Schizosaccharomyces pombe: one gene and its partners. Changing the gene in region 4 together with the main gene of any one other region gives a genetic interaction. Each region holds a gene or a part of one and is shown on either strand. Other genes may lie near its edges.

Evidence for each region.
Region 1: mutations in tgp1 (region 4) and gde1 impair growth when combined (synthetic growth defect), as found in Schizosaccharomyces pombe (one study listed by BioGRID).
Region 2: of tgp1 (region 4) and set2, changing one suppresses a phenotype caused by changing the other (phenotypic suppression), as found in Schizosaccharomyces pombe (one study listed by BioGRID).
Region 3: of tgp1 (region 4) and asp1, changing one suppresses a phenotype caused by changing the other (phenotypic suppression), as found in Schizosaccharomyces pombe (one study listed by BioGRID).

What each region holds. Positions count from the first base shown.
Region 1 is NC_003424.3:3,291,707-3,297,978, reverse strand, and holds gde1 (glycerophosphoryl diester phosphodiesterase Gde1), read right to left. Parts: upstream 4,433-6,272; 5' UTR 4,350-4,432; coding exon 4,333-4,349; intron 4,029-4,332; coding exon 638-4,028; 3' UTR 527-637; downstream 1-526. Other genes in the region: Holliday junction resolvase subunit Eme1, read left to right, coding at 1-459; cts2 (chitinase), read left to right, coding at 5,468-6,272.
Region 2 is NC_003424.3:5,407,680-5,412,829, forward strand, and holds set2 (histone lysine H3-K36 methyltransferase Set2), read right to left. Parts: upstream 3,387-5,150; 5' UTR 3,136-3,386; coding exon 739-3,135; 3' UTR 501-738; downstream 1-500. Other genes in the region: SNF2 family ATP-dependent chromatin remodeller Ino80, read left to right, coding at 1-376; spd1 (ribonucleotide reductase (RNR) inhibitor), read left to right, coding at 4,810-5,150. UniProt on the Schizosaccharomyces pombe protein: Histone methyltransferase that trimethylates histone H3 'Lys-36' forming H3K36me3. Involved in transcription elongation as well as in transcription repression.
Region 3 is NC_003421.2:570,970-576,613, reverse strand, and holds asp1 (inositol hexakisphosphate kinase/inositol pyrophosphate synthase), read left to right. Parts: upstream 1-2,041; 5' UTR 2,042-2,141; coding exon 2,142-4,904; 3' UTR 4,905-5,144; downstream 5,145-5,644. Other genes in the region: U3 snoRNP-associated protein Utp21, read right to left, coding at 1-942, 1,002-1,077; tyrosine--tRNA (Tyr) ligase Yrs1, read left to right, coding at 5,166-5,644.
Region 4 is NC_003423.3:349,791-354,441, forward strand, and holds tgp1 (plasma membrane glycerophosphodiester transmembrane transporter), read right to left. Parts: upstream 2,622-4,651; 5' UTR 2,580-2,621; coding exon 993-2,579; 3' UTR 520-992; downstream 1-519. Other genes in the region: SPOM_SPBC1271.10C (transporter), read left to right, coding at 1-269.

The DNA of each region.
Region 1 (6,272 bases), on a different chromosome or scaffold from region 4:
CAAAACTTTACTAAAGAAAAGTTAGAGAGTGAAATCGTCCGCTTCAGTTTCGAACATAGTATTCTTATAAACACTTCAAATGACGAAAAAGAAACCGCTCAATGGATAGTTTCCTTTACCGGCGACATAGCTTTATCTCGTTACAAGCACTTTTCTAAATTTTCAGCTAGAGCCTCTACTACCGAAATAGGACATGTCAAATCCGCCGATAGAATTGAAAACTCTCTAAATTTTATGTTGCGGCAAATACTACGAGTTACACCTAACATTGCTAACGCCATATGCGATCAATTTGACAGTATACCATCTTTAATTCATCATCTAAAAACTCACGGCGAGGAATCATTAACCAACGTTGTCATCCAATCTAGTATTAGTGAACGAAATTTAGGTCCGGTTTTATCGCGCCGTATATATAACACTTTCTTATGTAAAGAAGCATCCAGTGATGCACCATAGTGATCGGTCATTATTTGTATTTCATTAATTGTTATCATGATATTTTTTCCTTTTTTTTTCTATCTATGAAATTTTCTTATGATATACTTTCTTCTAACTAAAAATTAACTAATATCGGTTTCTAACTAAAGCACCTCATCTTCTATATCGTCGGTAGTATTCGTTCAAACTTTCTAGATCAATCAGATTCCAAACTTTCATCGTACTGGTTCAAGGCACGTCTAATGGCTAACACATTGTCTACAATGACAGCATCAACTCCAAAACGTACTTGGCGTCGGACATTGTCAACATCATTATTGAGAACACCATAGGTGTAGCAAGATAAACCCAATTGTTTAACTGCCTTGATCAGCCTCGGGCACATAATGAGCGGTTCACAAGCACTAACGATACCCAGAAAACTCCACTGTGAGGCAAACTTTAAAGCTTGTCTAAGCGATGCTGCACGAACGTCTGTTCGGTAAGCGGTACCTCCTTCAGTCAAAAAAAGAACAGGATTAGTCGATTTCAAAGAAAGTAAGATGCATATATCAGGATTAAAACTAGAGAAAATATACTTTCTTTTACCACCATACTTTTTGATTATCGATAGAATGGTATCCACGTAAAAGTTATAATCATAAGCTATAGGGAGCAATTTCTCTTCCTCAGCTTCACTTAGCATGGGGTACTTAAATTCCACATTAAGTCCTACGGATTGTGGAACTTCCTTCAAAACATCCTTTAAAGTTGTGAACGGTGCACAAATCGTATGACCAAGGGCATTACCCTTATATACTTTAGGCTTCAAACGTGCGTTTTCTTCAGCAAATTCACCGAAATTAACCTGTGATCCTGAAGGTGTAAATGAGGAACTGTAGGCCCTAGGACGTCTCTTCTGCTGAATGTCACTTGCATCATCTTTAATTTCTTCTGAAGGAGAGTGGGAAGCCCCTAAGAATTGCTCCAAAGTCAGCGAATGCACTTGTGCATCCGTTCCGGTTTCGTTTACGATAAAATCATGGTATACCACTGGGACCATGTCTTTAGTCATTTGCACATCTAATTCAACGTAAGAAGCACCAAGATCTGCCGCTTTTATAAACGATTGTAAAGTGTTCTCGCCAAGTTGAAGACTCAAACGATCAGGCTGATTCTTACCAAGTCCACGATGTCCGATAACCGCAACACCATTCGATTTCCCTGATTCTGATGTAGTTGTGGCAGATTTGTGTAAAGAACGCTCAGCGTCTTCCAATGCAGTGCGACTTACGTTGGAAACTGCTTCCAGCGATAAGGCAGGGGTACTTATGCCATCATTTGACGAAAATCTATCATCAACTGTCACCTTAGAAATAAGAACATCCGCATTAACATGAGCTATTGGTTTAAGAGTTTTACTCGAAAGTAATGGTAAGGGTGCCAAAGGTTTCAACGACTGCATATGATTCCCCAAATCAGATACCAGAGAAGTCAAGCAACATACAGTTCTCCCTAATATTTTATGGGATCGATTTGCTAACAAATCAATTGTAATAGTTGCTTCTTCTGTATTTCTTGTAACGAAAACCAATTCATACGGTGGAGAAGACCCGTTTACAGGTTGCGGACTATTTTCTTGTGCGGCATCATAATGCAAATGAATAGAGTCGTCGGCAATTTCATCAGGCTCCGCCAAATTCTCTAAGCAAACTTCACCGGCATTATCAAAATGGGAGCGAGGGATATCAATAATCACTGAGTTGTTTTGGCTAGAAGATGGTGTCATAGAGCCATTAGAAGCAGTAGTGTCGTTTTTACTCAACGAGTCAGTAGATTGAGACATGAAATCTACTGAAGATGGTCTACTTGCGGCAAAAGATGGAGACCGCCCTGAAACATACACAGCATCATCACCTTGAAGACTAACGCGGATTCTACCGGCCAAATCACTGATTCGAATAATGACCACTGAACGAGATAATTGTAAATCCATGGCACGTTTTCTGCTCCTCATTTCGGAACTTGAGGCTTTGATATAAAGTGTATGTAAATTAACAGGCTTATCACTCAAGGCGACTTGAGTTCTAAGTTTATCTGCTAGGTGTAAATACCCCCGAACCACAGCTTGTTCCATAGCAGTCCAACCTGAAGAATCAACTTCGTCAACCGAAGCGCCCGAGGCAACTAAAATTGAAACAATTTCGGAAAGTCCAGTAGCTGATGCAAGCATCAAAGGAGTCCATGAATTCAAAAAATCCCTTGCGCTAGGGTTTGCTCCAAGTTTGAGTAACATTTTAACACATTCCGGCCTGTTATAACGAACAGCGGTGTGTAAAGCTGTATTGCTACTAGCATCAACTTCGTTAGGATTGAATCCTGCAAGGATGAGTTCTTCTACGATCAAATCGTAATCGCCTACACAGCAAGTCAAGACCAAAGGAGGAACGGGTCCCGGCTTGGTAGAGGTTGTTTCCTTATCCTGAGCAGAAAGCAAAGCATGAAGAGCTTCAACATGATTTCCCTTAATAGCCAAAGTCAAGGGAGTGTCGTGCATTACATCGCGCCAACATGGAAGCATCCAATTCAATGGCTCAGAGTCAGGGATTGATGAAACAATTTCACAAAACTTACTGCACAATCCTGCCCAACCGAGTTTCGCAACAGAGTGCATCACACTCTGTCCCTTGCTATTTCGTTCTACAAGAAGAATCCTTGAAAGTAAACGATTAGAATGGTATGAATCCACATAAACCACTGAACAAATTTGTTTCAACACCTCCAAAAAATATAAAACTCCTTCGTCAGGACCACAGAGGTTGTTAATTGCACGACGTAATGCAGAAGCCAGGCACTCAGAACGTAAACCAATTCTTCCTATAACTTCACGCATACAAGCTTTGGCTCCCGCAATGATGGAGGCAGCCAGTATATCTACGAGTACACTATCAGGTGCATTTATACAAGCGGTCACGACCTCTGCGGCAATATCCAGTTGAATAAAAGCTAAAAGATCCTTCTTCAAGGGATGGTGAATTGACAATTTTTCCAACTTGTCTTTCACTTCACTATCGTTTTGAGAAGAATTCAAAGCCTTCAGGGCAATCATGGACTCATAGATCTTGGACGAATTCGCAAAATCAAGCTTACACACCTTCTGCTCATAAAATGTAACCAAGCGCTCCGTACCAAGGTGCTTATCCATATTGGCAGCTAGCTTTTCAAAGGCCAGCTTATTCCATTCACAAAAGGATGATAATTGTTGAAGACGAAAGTCTAGCTCTTTCAGTTGCTTCGCCTTTTCTTCAGCTTCGTAAGATGAAGACAGTGCCTGTGTAATTTCAGTATTGGGAGATTTCTCCGTAGACAAACGAGTGACATAATTATCAAGCTGGACAATGCGAGTATTGAACAAGTTAACAACCTTCTGAAGATCGTTTTCCAACATTTCGTCGATCGATCCCTTTGGCCATGATCCGTCACTATTACGCCTCAATAATTTCTTCCGTTCATCCTCGGGAAGCGCAGCAACCAGTTGAATCTTTCGCTTTATTCCATTATAATCAACATACTGTTCTGCAAACTCCGGGATCAACGCCAATTGAAGACTGTCGGTTAGCAGACAATGACTAAAGCAAACCAACAATTATAAACTAAGAAAAAGAAAAGTTTAAACAATGGTTAGTCATACGGTTGCAAATGATGAGAATGAAGGGAAAGGAGTTTACTGGCAGATCATCTTAATTAATCCCGTACTCCTATTCAACACAAATGCGTATCCTCAAACATAACCGTTACATTCAAGACATTAAAAGCCTTAACCATAATAAACTTTTTGCAAATATTGCATTCTTTAACGGCTATTTGAAGGTCTAAACAACATTCTAAAATGTGTAAAATATGTCGACCTACCTTTCACCAAACTTCATAATAAAGAGGACTGGGATTCAGGAATTTGAGAGAGATCGAAATTAATGGAGTAATCCAATCGTTCATAAACTACTATTTGGCTAAGGCCAAGTTCAAATACGTGGTAGAATACCACTACTTTGGTCGTCGTACGCTTCGTTAACGATAATAACGATTAGCAGCAAATATTGTAGAAAGCCAATTTTGGCTAGCATCGACACAGCTTTGACAAAATTTGCTACAATGGTTTGATGTGATGATTCGAAATATTTTAATTCGAACTTAAAAAATTAACGCTTACAACTTGACACCATTTTTTTACGTCAATTATAACTTCTAATGCTTAGAAGCGTCAACTTGAACGTTACCCTGATGAAAACTAATCAATGAATAATGTAAAAGCTCAATAGTTATTTATCGAGAATCTGTGTCCTTTTTTTACTAAAAAGAACTATTCTGAAGAAGCAGTTAAAACTAACATACTTATGTTTGAGGCTATGCAGAGCACCAGCCATTGAGTGCCTTTGTGTTTGTTTACTAGCTGTTGAATAAAGGGCACAGATGGCTGGGGTTTATTGCCATGTTGTAGTCAAACCGCTGCTGTTTAAGCTGTTGAAAAGACTAAACTATTTGCAAAAGCTCTTTGCGGTGAACAACAAGTGGGCGAAAAAAATATTCTATTTTATATGAATACTATTCTTTAAAATGCAGTTTAAGAAATACAATTTCTAAACGATCTTTTGGACTATTCGATTCCTCGCTACCTCTCCCTTACCTAGGCTGTTTATTTACAAACAGTGGTTGCTATGCCAACCACGTGCTGGTATTGTTTATTTAGAATATGATATAAAAGCATAGGGCTGGCGCCAACGCCAAGTTTGGGCTCTGTAATATAAGGACACACCGAGCTGTTAATTGTGCAAATAATCTTATTATTCTCTCGGTCACGGAACTTGGTATTTACTACTCTTCATTGCCTCAAATTAAGGCAAAGACACCGCAGTGCGAGATAACGATACCACAGTTTTTTTTACTCTCCCAACCTGGATTAACTTTGAATCTGGTTTTATTGTTTTTGGTTTATTTTCATTATTAGATATATTAACATTTTAACTTATTATCACGCCTGCATAGCAAAATGCGGTTAATATCTTCTTTACTGCTGCTTGTCTATTCGGCTCGGTTAGCTTTAAGCTTAAACCTCACTAACCAAACTGCGGTACTCGGATACTGGGGTTCCAACTTGGCAGGGAAAATGGGTGATAGAGATCAAAAAAGACTATCGAGTTATTGTCAAAACACCACCTATGATGCTATAATTCTTTCTTCTGTCATTGATTTCAACGTTGACGGCTGGCCCGTTTACGATTTTTCCAATTTGTGTTCTGACAGTGACACCTTCAGTGGTAGCGAACTGAAAAAGTGCCCTCAAATAGAAACCGATATTCAAGTGTGCCAAGAAAATGGTATCAAAGTGCTACTTTCAATCGGTGGGTACAATGGAAATTTTTCATTAAATAATGATGATGATGGGACAAACTTTGCTTTTCAAGTTTGGAACATTTTCGGAAGTGGTGAGGATTCATACCGGCCATTCGGTAAAGCCGTTGTAGACGGTTTTGACTTAGAAGTGAACAAAGGTACTAACACCGCCTATTCTGCATTTGCAAAGCGTATGCTTGAGATATATGCATCCGATCCAAGACGTAAATATTATATCTCTGCTGCTCCTACTTGCATGGTTCCTGATCATACTCTTACAAAGGCGATTTCTGAGAACTCATTCGATTTCCTTTCCATCCACACTTTTAACTCATCAACTGGCGAGGGATGCAGTGGAAGTCGTAATAGCACTTTTGATGCATGGGTTGAGTATGCAGAAGACAGTGCTTATAATACCAATACTAGTCTTTTTTATGGCGTTGTTGGTCATCAAAATGGAT
Region 2 (5,150 bases), on a different chromosome or scaffold from region 4:
AATTAGTCAACGTCGAGATATGGTTACAGAATGGCAAACACGGCCCGAACTCTTTGTATTTCTACTTTCAACAAGGGCAGGTGGTTTGGGTATTAACTTAACTGCCGCTGATACTGTTATTTTTTATGATTCAGACTGGAATCCTAGTATTGATAGTCAAGCCATGGATCGAGCTCATCGTATCGGTCAGCAAAAACAAGTCACCGTTTACAGATTTATTACTCGTGGAACCATTGAAGAACGGATTGTTATACGTGCTAAAGAAAAGGAGGAAGTACAAAAAGTGGTTATTTCAGGTGGAGAAACTCGGCCAACTAAACAAATGGACCTTAAGGGTAACTCAAGAGAAATGGTTTCATGGCTATTAGAAGAATAAATGGTGTGTGTATAGCTAAAGTTTCGTTAACCCGTTTTATTAAAAATTACTTAACCTAATAGTACATCAATTTTTGCATGGAATTTAATTAGCTAAATATTAACCTATTAATCAAAATGCTATACCGGTCCAGTCCAGGGTTATATAATTAGATGAAATGTTGTAAACAGTCGACGTGCATTTAGACACAAATACGGCTTCTATGTCTGGAAATTAAAGATTGTATTTAAAAAAAAAAATAGTATTAAAATATTACATCAAGGAAGAAAAAAAAAACTAGACACCAGGTATTAAAGACATGCAATATTTGGAACTATAGTATGGTAGACGTTGCTACTTGTCGCAGTTAAAAATACTGGCGATTAAGCAGCTTTTTTCGGGGATTCGCCAATACTGGGTGAATCTGTAGGAGTTGTAGTCGCAGTGCCAGAACGCGATACAACTGTGTCCAAATATCGAAATGCCCAAACTCTCAGCTTTCGCTGCTGAGAGTCTGATAATTCATCTGGTAAAGCTTTTTCTTTTTTGGATAGAACTAACTGAATATGCTTTTTCAAGATAATTTCAGTCATTTTCTTTACTCTCAATTTAAATTCAGCTTTACCAAGCTTCTCTTGGTATCTAGCTGTTTTGTTAGCAAAAAATTTTGCCAAAACTGCCTTAAAAGCAATGCTTTCAGGACTATGCGAAGTTAAATGATGATCAATTGTGGCATCCTGAGAGCTTTTCGTCTTCTTTTCATGCAACTTTTTGGCATGTCTTTTCAAACTTTCTTCGTAAGCAAGACGTCTCTTTTCTTCTCTTTTCTGCTGAGCTATTCTTTCTTCTTCCTCCTTCTGTGCCTTCAACACATTTTTCTGATTGACACTCTCCATTGCCGCTGAAATAATCTTGTTTAAATCTACTTTATTAGCTTGATTGCTGACTTGTTCTTGCTCATTATTTGGTGTAGTTGTTTCAGAAGGAGTGTCAGAGTTAGAAAGACGACGACGTTTAGGGAAAGAATTTTTACGAAAAAGGTTGTGTTTTGAATGGCTTTGATAGTCATTTCCAAACTTGGAACGTGAACGACTATCACTAGGCCTAGAAGAATGTAATGCTGGATGTTTCTTGCTCAAATCTTCTGTTGAATTATTGATTGCAGATTTTATATCTCCCTTATCGCCACGTTGTGGTTCCTGATCCCTTAAAGGAGGATTACTTTGATTATTGGAGGGTTCTGCGTTCGTTGACTGTGGAGCAACTTGACCAGGCTTCCTTCGGGGAATTCGATAAGCTATCTCCAAAGATTCCCATTCTTTTAAAAGAGTTTTGGCATGATCTTTGACCTCCTCGTTCTCATGGTCGCAAAACTCTTGAACAACGGGCTCAATATTTGAATCTTGGATTTTATTTCTTGTTAGGCGTGGCCAAGATAACATGGTTTTTATAGAACGTAGTATAAACTCAATATCAATGCTGAACTTCTTCAGCATCAAACCAAAAATGTTGTAACCACGTAACGCAATGATCGAACGGCATACACTAGGATCTGAAGTCAAGAAAATGCGTTCCATTAACTTTCTTGTTAATAAGTCATCCTTAGTTTGCAGGAGAACGCCAATCACTTTAGTAGCAGACTCAGATGTCAGAGGAGTAGGTTGCACCTCTTCAATAATTTTGCTAGTTTCGTCAATTCCCTTTTTACGACGTTGTCGACGTGCAGTGATGTTTTCCCAGCTATCCTCTTCATCTTCAATACCAAGAGCCTCTCGGACATTCTCAGGTAGTTTCGATTGAGCCTCAGTTTGCGTCTTTCCGCCAATATACCCTACACAGCAAGGTTCTCCGCAATAACAAGGTTGGGCTTGTGCACCATATCTATCGACATTATAGTCAAAAGTAAGCTCTTCACCGCGAATAATATCTCTTTTACAAAATATACCCATTCTTAGCTTATCTCCTACCATCCATTTATCAACATAACAATTAGGTCTACAAGAGTGATTGCAAAATCTTGCGAGCGACCCCCTTTTAGTAGCATCAATATATTCCCCCTTTTGCAGCATCATGAAGTAAAAGTGTTTAATTCCCTCACTATCGTATTGTCGCATACGTTTACGAAACTTTTGTTCAGGTATAACTTCTCCAATGTATTCGTAGACAAATGTGTCTTTGGGTAAATTGGCATCAGCGCGCAAACCAAACCCTTTCTTTTCGGTTAAGAAAACATCCACCTTTGCAAATTCATGTCTTTGAAAGCGTTGGTTTTGACAGGATGGTCCACAAACGTTATCTTCGTCCGTACACTCTATAGAAGTCATTCTATTAATACAATTGGATCCGTGCCCACAAGCAACATTAACTCCATCTACCCAATGAGGCCGACAATCGCAAATCATAGCTTCGTTTTCTGGAGGCTTACCAATATTGGCGGAAGCATACTGACATTCTTGAATCTCTTCGAACGTAGTTAGCGCCTTATCTTTCGCAGAATCCAGGTGATGAAAAAGTTGAGGAGGAAGTGCCTCTTTTCTAACATATTTGCTTTGAGACCGAGAGGATGCAGACGATGGCGAGGACGTAGAAGGGGAAGGAGCACTTTCGTCTTTATTCATCCCTTCGGCATCCTCTTTACTTTCGAAATCATGAGATGACGAAGAAGATGGTGATGAACCGACTGCCTGGACAGCGATTGTGTCTTTTGACCAAGAAGACTTCCTATCAACGTTTTCCTCATTCAAAGGAGTTAAAACAGAAAGAGATGATGCCGTCTGCATTGTATGATAATGGACAAAAAGAAAGAGAAAGTTAAAAAATCTACAGTTTTATTGAACAAAAAGTAATTGCCGAAGGAAGCCAAAACAATAGAAAGAAGACCAGCTGAAATTTCACCGAAAATCTTCTTTTTAGAAAATTTCCGAAAATATCTCGATGCGTAACATATAGATCTTCTAACGTTTCAAAGTTTCGTGTCAAAGAAACAGTGAGATCAGGAAATTGTCTCAAGGAAGAAGTTGTGGCTGTTGGCGGCGTTCCTTCTTTACTCGCGGAATCCTCGTAGGGGCTCACAGTACCGGAGTGTAAACGACAACTCTTGACTTTAGTGTTAAATATTAAAGAAACCTATTAAAAGAAAAGGCTTTAAAATCTTTACTTTCATTTCATTCAAGCATCTACAAAAAATCACCATCACGCGCAACATTTGAATGCCATTCTTTTCCAGAAATTCCATAATAGTTGTTGAAGAAATAACACTGTTAGTGTAATAAAATTCACTCTGTTTTTTACACTCGGCGCCTTATGTAGCGAATATCTTTGAATTAATAATATCAATCATACTATGTAACTGTAGTAGGTTGTTTATCCAAAAAACATATGGTACGCAAAGATAGACACTAATTATCAACAATGAATGAATAAGAAAAGCTTTTTCAACGAATATTTTGAGTGAGGCAGTCAGCGTGCTCATACTGGATAGACCCAGAACAAGTAAGTTTACAATATGTTCAATTTACAAATCCAAGCATGTGGTATTGAATTATATTTGGTATTCTTTTTGTTCCCTTGGTCTTATTAATGTAAAATCATCATCTACCTGCATCTATTGAAGCAGTAATTAAACAGAAGTTTGAGAATCGGTAAAGAAAGAAACTAGGAATGTATGTAATAAAGTCATTTTATTTTGAAAATGCTCATCCTGTTAATTCTAGGTAGATTCTTTATTTCTTCAAACCCAACCACTTTTGTTAATATTGTTTAAACACATAATATATACATTGGCGAAATTGAAATAATGCTAAAATTTTGTCAGAGCATTAGTCATTGTTAATTTTAAAAAGCTATTAAACAAAAATAAAGGCTAAGAAAAAAAGATAAACCTATTCCATATGTTTATATATGTGTATCTTATCTTAAAAGGTCTTTAACTCAAGCTATACTTACTACAATCTATATGCAGCTACTTGTCCTTCATGGCACGACGGTGCCAGTAAAGTTAATAAGAAAACCATACCGAACAGGGGCCAAGTTACGATGAGACAACATGTGAAGAACAAAGGAAGAAGCGATTTCAAGCTTTGCAAAAGGTTTGACCAAATTTAACGAACAAACGTTTCAGCTGTTACCTTGAAAGCAGTTGGCAATAAAAGAGAAAGCGAATTTAATTGCTTTAAATGTTTTACTTTAACTCTTAGATATAAAGAGTGCGGAAAAAGTGGCAGAACCACAAGAAAACAAGATCTCAATCGCAAAAGCAATAAAACTGCAATTCCAAATTTTGTAGATTTTCTACCATTTATGAATAACGTGGGTTAGTGAAATGTAAAGAGATCCGTGTTCGATAGGCATTCCCCAGACAAATTTGACTGCTTTAAACGTCACAAAGCCGAGTAGCAAACGCTCCCACAACCAAACACTACACAAAGGTTCGTCGACAATTTATTTTGGAAAAAATGCACAGCAGCAAGCGAGTTATGACCACAAAGACTCATGTTGAGCAGCCTGAGTCTTCAATGCGTCCTCAGCTTCCCGAAAGCATTCAAGGCTCCTTAATGGACGTGGGAATGCGGGTTCGTAAATCAATTTCCACCGGATACAAGTCGAAACAAACCACGTTTCCTGCCTATAACCCACCGCTTTACAACACTGTTTCTGAAAACATTGCTTTAAAAAATACCGCATTTTCTTATGAGCCTAACGGTACTAAGCGTCCATTCGAGCAAGCAATTCCTAATTATAACTGGGCCAATCCTCCTCAAGACTTTGAAGAACCGGAATGGTTGAAGCCGTTTGA
Region 3 (5,644 bases), on a different chromosome or scaffold from region 4:
ATGAAGGTGGCTCGTAATGACCATTACGAGAACGTAGGATTCTAGGAGCACCATCCATTGAATCAAAGATCCATTCTTTAAGAGAGTTATCTGGACCAGCAGTTACTAATATGGGCTGCCCGTTAAGAAACTGTATCTTTGGAAGTGACCCAAAATGAGCATTATATGTAACATTTTGAATTCTTCGCTTTGAAAGATCCCAAAAAGAAAGGTCACCAATGGGGTTGGAAGAAGCTAATATTGGTGTCCCATCAGTACGGAATGAACATGAAAGAACTTGGCCATCTTGTTTGAATTCCATGAGTATTGAACCATTTTTAAGATTAAAGATTACAATACGACCACTAATAGTACCAACAGCTAAAACATCGAGGACAGGGGCTTGTGTTAAACTAGTGATTCCATCACCAAAAAATTCCTGAAATTCATGTACACGTTTAGAAACACGCAAATTCCAAATCTGTAATGCTCCATCTGAGAATCCTAGCAGTATTTTGTTCAAATAAGTGCTTGGATGTAGTAAACTAGTGATATCTGCATTGGTATTAGGAAGAAATGTAGTATGAAGCTCAGGAACACTATATTTAGAAGCGTGTTTCCATACATAAACATGACGAGAAGATGTACAAGCAATAATCCACTCACCAAAAGCATCTAAATGAGTGACTGTTCCATGTTCTTGCTCCACATCAATGTCCCATATTATTTTACCACGTTTATATGCAAAAATTTTTGATCCGGCAGCTACAAGCATGAAATCTTTAAAGGATTTTAAACAAGTAATTTCCTTGTCTAATTGCTTGCCAACGAAAAGCAAATTCAACTTTTCGCAGTCATATGTTTGAAATGTGTTTCCCACCGACGTTGTTACCAAAAAATGGGTTCCACGAGCCTCAATGTCGAAAGGTACTGCATTGGAAACGTGACCGATGGATCTAAAGGCTAAAAATACAGTTAGCAATCTGTTCATTCCAAAAGAAAAAGAGAGAATTTTGACTTACGAGCATAGATCCTAGATTTTCTTAGAGGCTTCACCGCATTTTCATAAGTCCTCCGTTTCTTCTCTGCAAATGGCATTTTATCACAGGAAAGAACACAAATAGCACGTAAAATGGCAAAGGATGGCTCTTGTCCTGTAACTTGCAAAAAGCAGTGTTTGTGAAATTCTAGCAACCCTTTACGACCTACAGTAATAATCGTTAATTTACGACAGTGTATTTACTGAAATCGATAAATGTGTTTAACGATATGGTCAATCCGTCATATATCAATTTTCGGTAATTATAAATAAGAATCGTTCTGCTATTGTTCCGTTTATTTAAGTAAACAAATTATTTATTATTAAAAAAAAAAGAGAACTAAACATTGATGTCTAATGTTATTGTAAGATTTAATCGTAAAAACATGTTAGCAAAACTTCTACATTCTCTTCAGAATACCTAAAGAACTCTATTCACATATATCAAAAAGTGGTAAGGTAAATCTATGATTGTTGGAATTCTGGGCTTGTAAATAATGAAATAAATTTCAGTAAATTCTTAAAAAATATTTTTCTTTATGTAAAAGGTGCGAGAACAATATACTCTTGAACCCAGCTAGTAGAAGTAATTTTTTAATGTTTGTTGCTTGTAAAATTTAAACATTCCAGTCCACGTGTTTTCGCACGGACGAAAAGTAAAAACCTATTAAACAAAAATTTTTTCTAATTCTTTTTTAATTTAATATTGATGGATTTTACAAGCTTTTACTAAACTGGAAGAATACGTTTTTGAAAGAAGAATAACAGAAACTGGGCTTGGTTAAAAAAATTTTTATGAAAACCCAAATTAACTAACCCAGTATAATTAGTAAAAAAGTTATTCATAGAAGCATTACTGCGAAACAAATTCAATATTCACTGTCCACTTCATTTAAGCAACAATTTCTTATTTATTTACATTTCGTTAGGTAAACAAATGTTACCTCGCTGAATTGTAAGGTTAACCGTACAAGTAACATTGATCGACTAGGTGTGTACTAACACCGTGTACCTACATCTCTCATAACCAAACAAGTGAGGGAATTGGCCATTGAAAGAATACAAGTGGGAAAAAGGTGTTTTAAGCGTTATTAAATATTTTAACGTAGTTGAATAATAAAGGATGATTCAAAATGCAAGTCATCTTACATCTATCGACACAGAGTCATCTACCAGAACGGCGTCGCCTGTTTCCTCAATCGTTACACCTACTAAACGAAATGTAGTTGGAATCTGTGCCATGGATGCCAAAGCTCGCTCAAAACCATGTCGGAATATTCTGAACAGAATCATCGCAGAAGGTGAGTTTGAAGCCATAGTATTCGGTGACAACATGATTTTGGACGAAGCTGTGGAAAATTGGCCTGCTTGTGATTATTTGATATGTTTCTACTCTAGTGGATTTCCATTGAAGAAAGCTGAAAAGTATGTCGAGTTGCGTAAACCTTTTTGTGTAAACGATGTAGTATTCCAAGAGTTGCTTTGGGATAGACGGCTTGTGTTGAACATCCTTGATGCCATACGTGTTTCCACCCCTCAGCGTTTGATTTGCTCTCGTGATGGAGGTCCTAAAATTAATAAAGTCCTAGAAGAAAAGTTGCGTCGAAAGTTTGGAATAGAAATCACAGAGGTTCCTACCCCAGAAGTAAAAATGTTGGACGAAGATACTCTTTCTGTTGATGGCAAGATAATAAAGAAGCCGTACGTTGAAAAACCAGTCTATGGTGAAGATCACAATATTTATATTTATTTCCCTAAATCCGTTGGTGGGGGAGGTCGCAAATTATTTCGTAAAGTCGCAAATAAGTCTTCAGATTATGATCCAGATCTTTGTGCTCCACGCACTGAAGGATCTTTTATTTACGAGGAATTCATGAATGTCGATAACGCGGAAGACGTAAAGGTTTATACCGTGGGTCCTCATTACAGCCATGCAGAAACCCGCAAATCACCCGTAGTGGACGGAATTGTGAGAAGGAATCCACATGGTAAGGAAATTAGGTTTATCACCAATCTTTCAGAGGAAGAAAAAAATATGGCCTCTAAGATATCAATTGCGTTTGAGCAACCTGTTTGTGGATTTGATCTTCTTCGTGTCTCAGGTCAGTCGTATGTGATTGATGTGAATGGATGGTCCTTCGTCAAGGATAACAACGATTATTATGATAATGCTGCTCGAATTTTGAAACAAATGTTTCATGTTGCCGAACGTCATAGACGGAATCGTGTACCTTCAGTCCAAGAAGTTTTAAATCCTCCGCCTAGAGAAAGTGAGGCATGGAGACTTAAAAGTTTGGTCGGAGTCCTGCGTCACGCGGATCGTACACCTAAACAAAAGTTTAAGTTTTCATTTACATCTGATCCATTTGTAAAATTATTGCAAGGTCATACCGAGGAAGTTATTTTAAGAAACGAACAACTCAATTCTGTTTTGGCAGCTACCAACCTTGCTACAGAACTCAAATGCGAAGATATCAACAAGTTAAAACAGTTACGCTTAGCTTTGGAAACGAAGAAAGACTTACCGGGGACAAAAGTGCAACTTAAACCGGCTTATTCCCCAGAGGGAAAGCTTTTGAAACTGCAGCTAATTATCAAATGGGGTGGTGAATTTACTCATTCCGCGAGATACCAATCTAAGGATTTAGGAGAGCAGTTTCATAAGGACCTGTATATTATGAATCGTGATTGCCTGAAAGATGTCGAAATATACACATCTTCTGAAAGACGTGTCTCTGCTTCTGCTGAAATTTTTGCAATGGCCTTTTTGGAGCAAGAAACTATTCCTAGCGACTTACTCAAAGTTCGCAAAGATCTGTTAGATGATTCTAATGCTGCCAAGGATACTATGGATAAGGTTAAGAAACACTTGAAATCATTATTAAGAGTTGGAGATACGGCTAGAAAGGAGTTTACTTGGCCAGAAAACATGCCCAAGCCTTGTGAAGTAATGCAACAAGTTGTTCAACTCATGAAATATCATCGCGCAGTAATGAGAGAGAATTTTATTATTTTGGGACCTGAGGTTGAGCAAGTTCAATCGCGTTGGTGTTGTAATGAAAATCCTGCGCTCTTTAGGGAAAGGTGGGAGAAGTTGTTTAGCGAATTTTGTGACTCTGAGAAAGCAGACCCATCCAAGGTTTCTGAACTATACGATACATTGAAGTATGATGCTCTTCACAATCGGCAATTTTTGGAACGCATATTTACTCCCTATCAGTATCTCAAATTGCCTCAGAGTCCAAGCTTGATTGCCAAAGAGCCTCCCCAAAGAACCGATAGCAATGGCAATCTTGTTGGGATGACCGGTGCAAATACTAATCACACTGAAAGGCCGTTGGAAAAGTTGTATGAGCTATACGATTTAGCAAAAGTATTATTTGATTTTGTTTCTCCTCAAGAATATGGTATAGAACCGAAAGAAAAGTTAGAAATTGGTTTATTAACAAGTGTACCGTTGCTTCGTCAAATCATACATGACATTAAAGAGGCACGAGATTCTGATCATGCTTCAACAAGAATGTACTTTACTAAAGAGTCTCATATCTATACCTTGCTTAATTGTATACTTGAATCAGGACTACCTATGAAATTACCTAGAAATCAAATTCCCGAATTAGATTATCTCACTCAAATATGCTTTGAGTTATTCGAGAGGACTAATCCTTCAGGAAATAAGGAATTTTCTGTTCGTATCACACTCTCACCAGGTTGTTATGCCCAATGTCCATTGGATATGAATCTTGATGCTAAACACTGTATTAGCGTTTCACCTCGCAGGTCGCTTACAAGACATTTAGACCTTCAGCAGTTTATAACGAAAACCGAGGACCTCTGCAACTCAGTTCATCTTCCCAAAAGGTTTATTCCTGTTAACATTAATTAACCGCTTTTACCCTTTTTACGAATGTTTTGATAACATAAACATTTTTTAAACGATATTTTATTAGTAATTGCACATAATTAAACCAAATTATTTATTAAACCTTGGTTAATAATTTTGTCTGAATAATTTGTTGTTCGGGTTGCAGTCACGGTGCCGCGGCAATTCCGAACGTTGATCGCAGTCCATGATTGCAATCGAAAACATCGTTAACCAACATCACCAATTTTTGTGAGTTCCATTTAACGTTGGATATCAAGCAAGATGTCGCTTACTCCGGATGAAAAATATGAGTTGATTACTCGTAATCTTCAAGAGGTGCTTGGCGCCAAAATGATTCGCGAAATTTTGAATGAACGCGATATCAGCTTGTACTGGGGCAGTGCACCTACTGGCCGTCCTCATTGTGGTTATTTTGTGCCAATGATGAAGTTGGCTGATTTTTTAAAGGCCGGTGTACATGTTACTGTTCTTTTAGCCGATGTCCATGCTTTTTTGGATAACATGAAGGCGCCGATGGAACTCGTTCAACACCGTGTTCGTTATTATGAAATTATTGTCAAATCTATTCTAAAATCGTTGAATATTCCCATTGAGAAGCTTCGTTTTGTCATTGGCTCCAGCTATCAGCTGAAGGAGGATTATACCCTTGATAACTTTCGACTTGCTGCATCTACGACAGAGCACACTGCTCGTCGTGCCGGTGCAGAAGTTGTCAAGCAGGTCGCTAGTCCTCTATTGTC
Region 4 (4,651 bases):
TTTCTGTGATTAATAACACTTTTGGGTATGTATTTACGTTTGCCTGTCAAAGTTGGATCGATAGCCTTGGTACGGAGCGTACTTATATTTCAATCGGTGTATTGTGTTTCATTTTTATCGCCACCTCATTCCCAATGATTCTTTGCGGTAAAAGACTTCGCAAGTGGACCGCTAAGCAGTATTATACATTTTTAAACGTTCGTAATCGTTTAGACGAAAAAATTCCCGACCAAGATCGAAGAGGTCAGGATGGGGTTGAAAGTCGATAAGCTGGATTTCATTATAAGTTGTCGCTCTTTTGGGTCAATCCTTTATGTTCATCATGTCTATGTGTTTATTAGTCTAACAAAAGTGAGTTAAGTTATAGTGAAAAAAGTTTTTATTTTTTTATTCATAACAACAAGTAAGTAGGGATAATCACCACTTACAAGCGCTTTATATATAAAATTGAGCAACCATATGGGTTAGAATTATCAAGAAAAAATTAAGACTCTTAAAGTCCGTTAACGCCATAATGCAGATATTATAATTTTTTCAATTATTTAACAGTAAACACATTAAGCAACTAATATTCATGATTGGATGGATAAATCAGTACTATAACAGAGTAAGTAGTACTTAACAATTACGAAAAAAGATGAAGACGAAAAGGTAGCAAAAGATCAGTTGTCCTACCATATGTCTAATAGCCCTGACTTCCACTGAATATAAAAACACGGGCAAAATCAGCCGTCAATCATTATCAAACAAGGTATTTTGTAAAGTCAAAGTCAGATCAAACATTTGCAAATGAAGTTTGACTTTTAAATTTTTTAGATTTTTTGAAACACAACAAGGCAAAAGACTAGGTAGGCTTCCCGCATGATTTGTATTTAATAAGGGTACAATAAAAAAGAAAAGATTAGCATAAAATGATATGATGAAAAGAAAAGGTCGCACTCAGGAAAGGGCTAAGAAATTATTAATAAGCTTGATATACTCAATGCTGCGAATTACTTGAAAGCAGGAGGGCGGTCGGGTTCTTCCAGCTGCTCTGGCTCGTTTTTCTCGTAATTGTAAGGATTTCCATAACCAGCATCGATACAGGCTTGAATAAATCTCTTATCCTCATCCTCAATGCATGTCTGCTTAAGTTTTGGAACGAAGAGAAGGGCTAAAACAGCAACAAAGATAGCCATCGCACTTGCAGCATAAAAATAGTTGCGCACTTGATCACCACCAAAAGCGTAAACACCTGCAATAGCACCACACTTGCCAATAGCCGCAGCAATACCGTAGTAAACACCACGAATGGCAGTAGGAGAGGTTTTGGAAGCAAGCAAACCAATGTTGCCACCGGGACCGAATTCACCCAACGTTAAAAAAATACCGTAAATGACACAGAATCCGGCAATCTTGTGGACCAACTGGTTATAGAATCCGGACATGAAAAAGCCGAAAATGGATTGTAAGACAAGACCGGTGATCAAACAATATTTAGGACCAAGTAAATCAGAGAAAACACCTCCAAGTAAGGCACCAGGAAGGTAGAAGGTATTGATTAGAACATTCCAACCGAATGATCTAGCGGTAGAAGCATCGGCGGGTAAAACACCATCGACAATGGTACTGGAATACAAGCCAAATGCAAAGGCAGAGAGATCGTAGACAAACCAAATGAGGCAAAGAATGAACAAGCGGAAACCATACATTTTCAATACAAGTAGCCAAGGGATTTTAGTGAGGGGAACTTTATGTTTGACATAGGTTTTGGGATCCTTCATGGCAATACGGAAAGGGAGAAGAACGCAAGGAATCACAAGACCCAAGCCAATAGAGAGACGCCAGACAATACGCAGATGGTGTTCGCCAAAGATACAAACTAAAATATAGGGGACAAGAGCACCAACGACAAAACCAAAATCAATGGCACCGTCCGTAACAACGATAAAGGCAGCATGGCGCAAACCCGATTTCAGTTCGTTGGAAGACTCTGAAGCAGCCACGGAGCCACAAGGATACTCAGCACCAATTCCAATACCCAAGAAAAATCGATAAGCAATAAGGGCAGAAAGCATGCCATTGATACTGCCCTTGTAGCCGTAAGCACCCGTACACAGGGCTGTAGACACAATCAAAATAATTGTAGCGGTAATCATGCCATTCTTACGACCAAAGCGATCCGAATACCAACCAAATGACAATTGTCCGACAATGGTGCCGACATAAGCAATCATACCAATGTCCTGCAACGACTTATTGTGAGTGGTTTCCTCTGGGTAGAGTTTACGAAGGATAGTAATCACTGTACCGATTGAATTGGAGCAGTAACCATCAGACATCAAAGCAACACCGGCGACAGCAACGTTTAAGAAATGCTTCCATTGACTAGTTTCCCGTGAGCCACCCTCGATGTCGAACTCGGCTTCTTTTTCTGTTACATGAGCGCCTGAGGACTTGTCGTCCAACTTCTCTTCATCACTGCGATATCGAGTTACGGAAGCTTCAATTGGCTCTTCAACACTAGGTTCGCTAACCTGTCTAACTACTTCATCTTCGCCGTTGTCGACATATTTTGATTCATCCCAGCCACCAGACATTTTACGACCAGTTTTGAAGACTTTTATTTTTTTTTTCACACTGAAATTTCTAGCTGGCAAGCCTGCCACCTTAAATACCTACACGGTAAATGTCAAGTCTGCTAATGAACAATGCAAAAATTTCCTCCTTTCTCAAACACACTCGCTACAGATAGATTTACTGCCGACTTACAAGTCTCGAATAACACAACCAATGACGCTTTCACACTTTGACTTACTGATTTGAATGTCCGAAGGAAAAAGCGATTTATTCGTAAGTTCATTTTAGCAGGCCCCTGTCTTAATTTTAACACAGTTACTTGAGTCTATCACCACCACATTGCTCATGAATACTGTAAAAGTGACATCTTTGAGTTGGCATTTGCCGATGCATCCCTTGTCGCATTTTCTCTCTTGAGACCCAGGCTGGTATTACGATTTGGCAACCTCATCCTGTGGGACAAAAGTTAACGAAACCTTGATAATGACCACATGCCGTTTAACCCAAGGAATTCTCTTCCCGTGTAGGGATAATTGGTTTGTCAGACAAATGTCCTACACATGAGGCAACCATGCCGTATCAGCAAAGCAAAAAATGAAGTAATAGAATTGGTTGAAGTAGATTATAGTATTTCTAAGATTAACCACCATTAAATCACTCACAATTCGTTCAATTGTATGCAAACCAAGGCCCAGGCTGTACAATCATCCTGACCAGATAAACTGTCACATTTCATCGTCATTCGTGTGAAAGATAAAACATGACAGTCACGGAGTCGATATTTTGTGTAGTTGAGGGTGACAAACAACGGACGGCAAAGGAAAAGAAAAAAAAATAAAAATAAAAACGTTTTATTCTTGGAAGCAGTTTAAATTGAGTGAGTGCAAAAAATTCATTAGTGCAAAACGTACCATAGATGCAAAAACGATCTAGTAAAGTGCAAAACAATATAGTGAAATGCAAATAAAGATATAGTCAATGCAAAAAATGATTAGACCATGCAAAACGTTGAAATGCATGCCCGAGTTTAGTTTCGTTTGAGATAGTTTTAAGGGGGTTGTTTGAATATGCAGACAAAACGACTCGTTCTGCCAACATCAAGGATGAGTGAATTCATAATATTCACTCTCCCTTGGGTTCATTTGATTAAATTTGATATGACACTTTCATCTTTCACATCACACAGTCAGTATGTGAGTGCAGCATTTAAAAAAATTTCACTTCGTAAAACTATGATAAAGTCGACAATCCGAGCATTCTATGCGTATTTCGTTAAACAATAGAAGCAACAAGATTGGTATGCATAGTCAGTCTAGTCAATTCAATTCAATTCATTCGAATAAACTATAGGAACGAAATGAATATCATAAACAGAGATTTTGTGTAACAATGTATATTAAAGAGATAAACACATTAAACTTTTAATCTAAAACACAACACAAAATAGAGGGCATCCTCGACAATGCCTTGCTTCAACAAACCCTCATCACACAAACACATACAACTCCCATCCATCAATAGATGCACACGATTCACAAATCAATGTATGTATATCCATGCGATCCATTGCATCAAGGAGGAATGATGGAATGCATGAATGAATGAATGGAAGGATGAAAAAATAAGGAATTGAAGAAAGGAATTACTCATTAAAATTAAAACAATGAAAAAAAAATGATTTAATTCTTGTTGCTTACTATATTCATTTTGTTTTTGATTAGATTTGTATGTTAATGATTTTTGAATAAAAATGTTGTTAGCCAACTTTTCATTTTAACCATGCACACATGCACACAATGCTATTGCCTTTGGCGACTGACCTCAAACCAAACAGCAAAGCAAAAATTGCCCAAGAGAAAAATAGAATAAAATTTAAAAAGTTTCCATATTTGGATATGGGTACCCTGTATATATATGTATGGCGACTCCTCAGACCAATTTTGTGACTGTTTCTTTTGAGTCACAATTTTGACTGAAAGGGAGTAAAGCACGCAAACATGACATTCCTCAGCTCAGACGGAATGTGGCCCGATGTAAAGTAAAGAGGGTTCAGGGATTGCACGTTACCAATATTGTTTCGATACAGACGTGT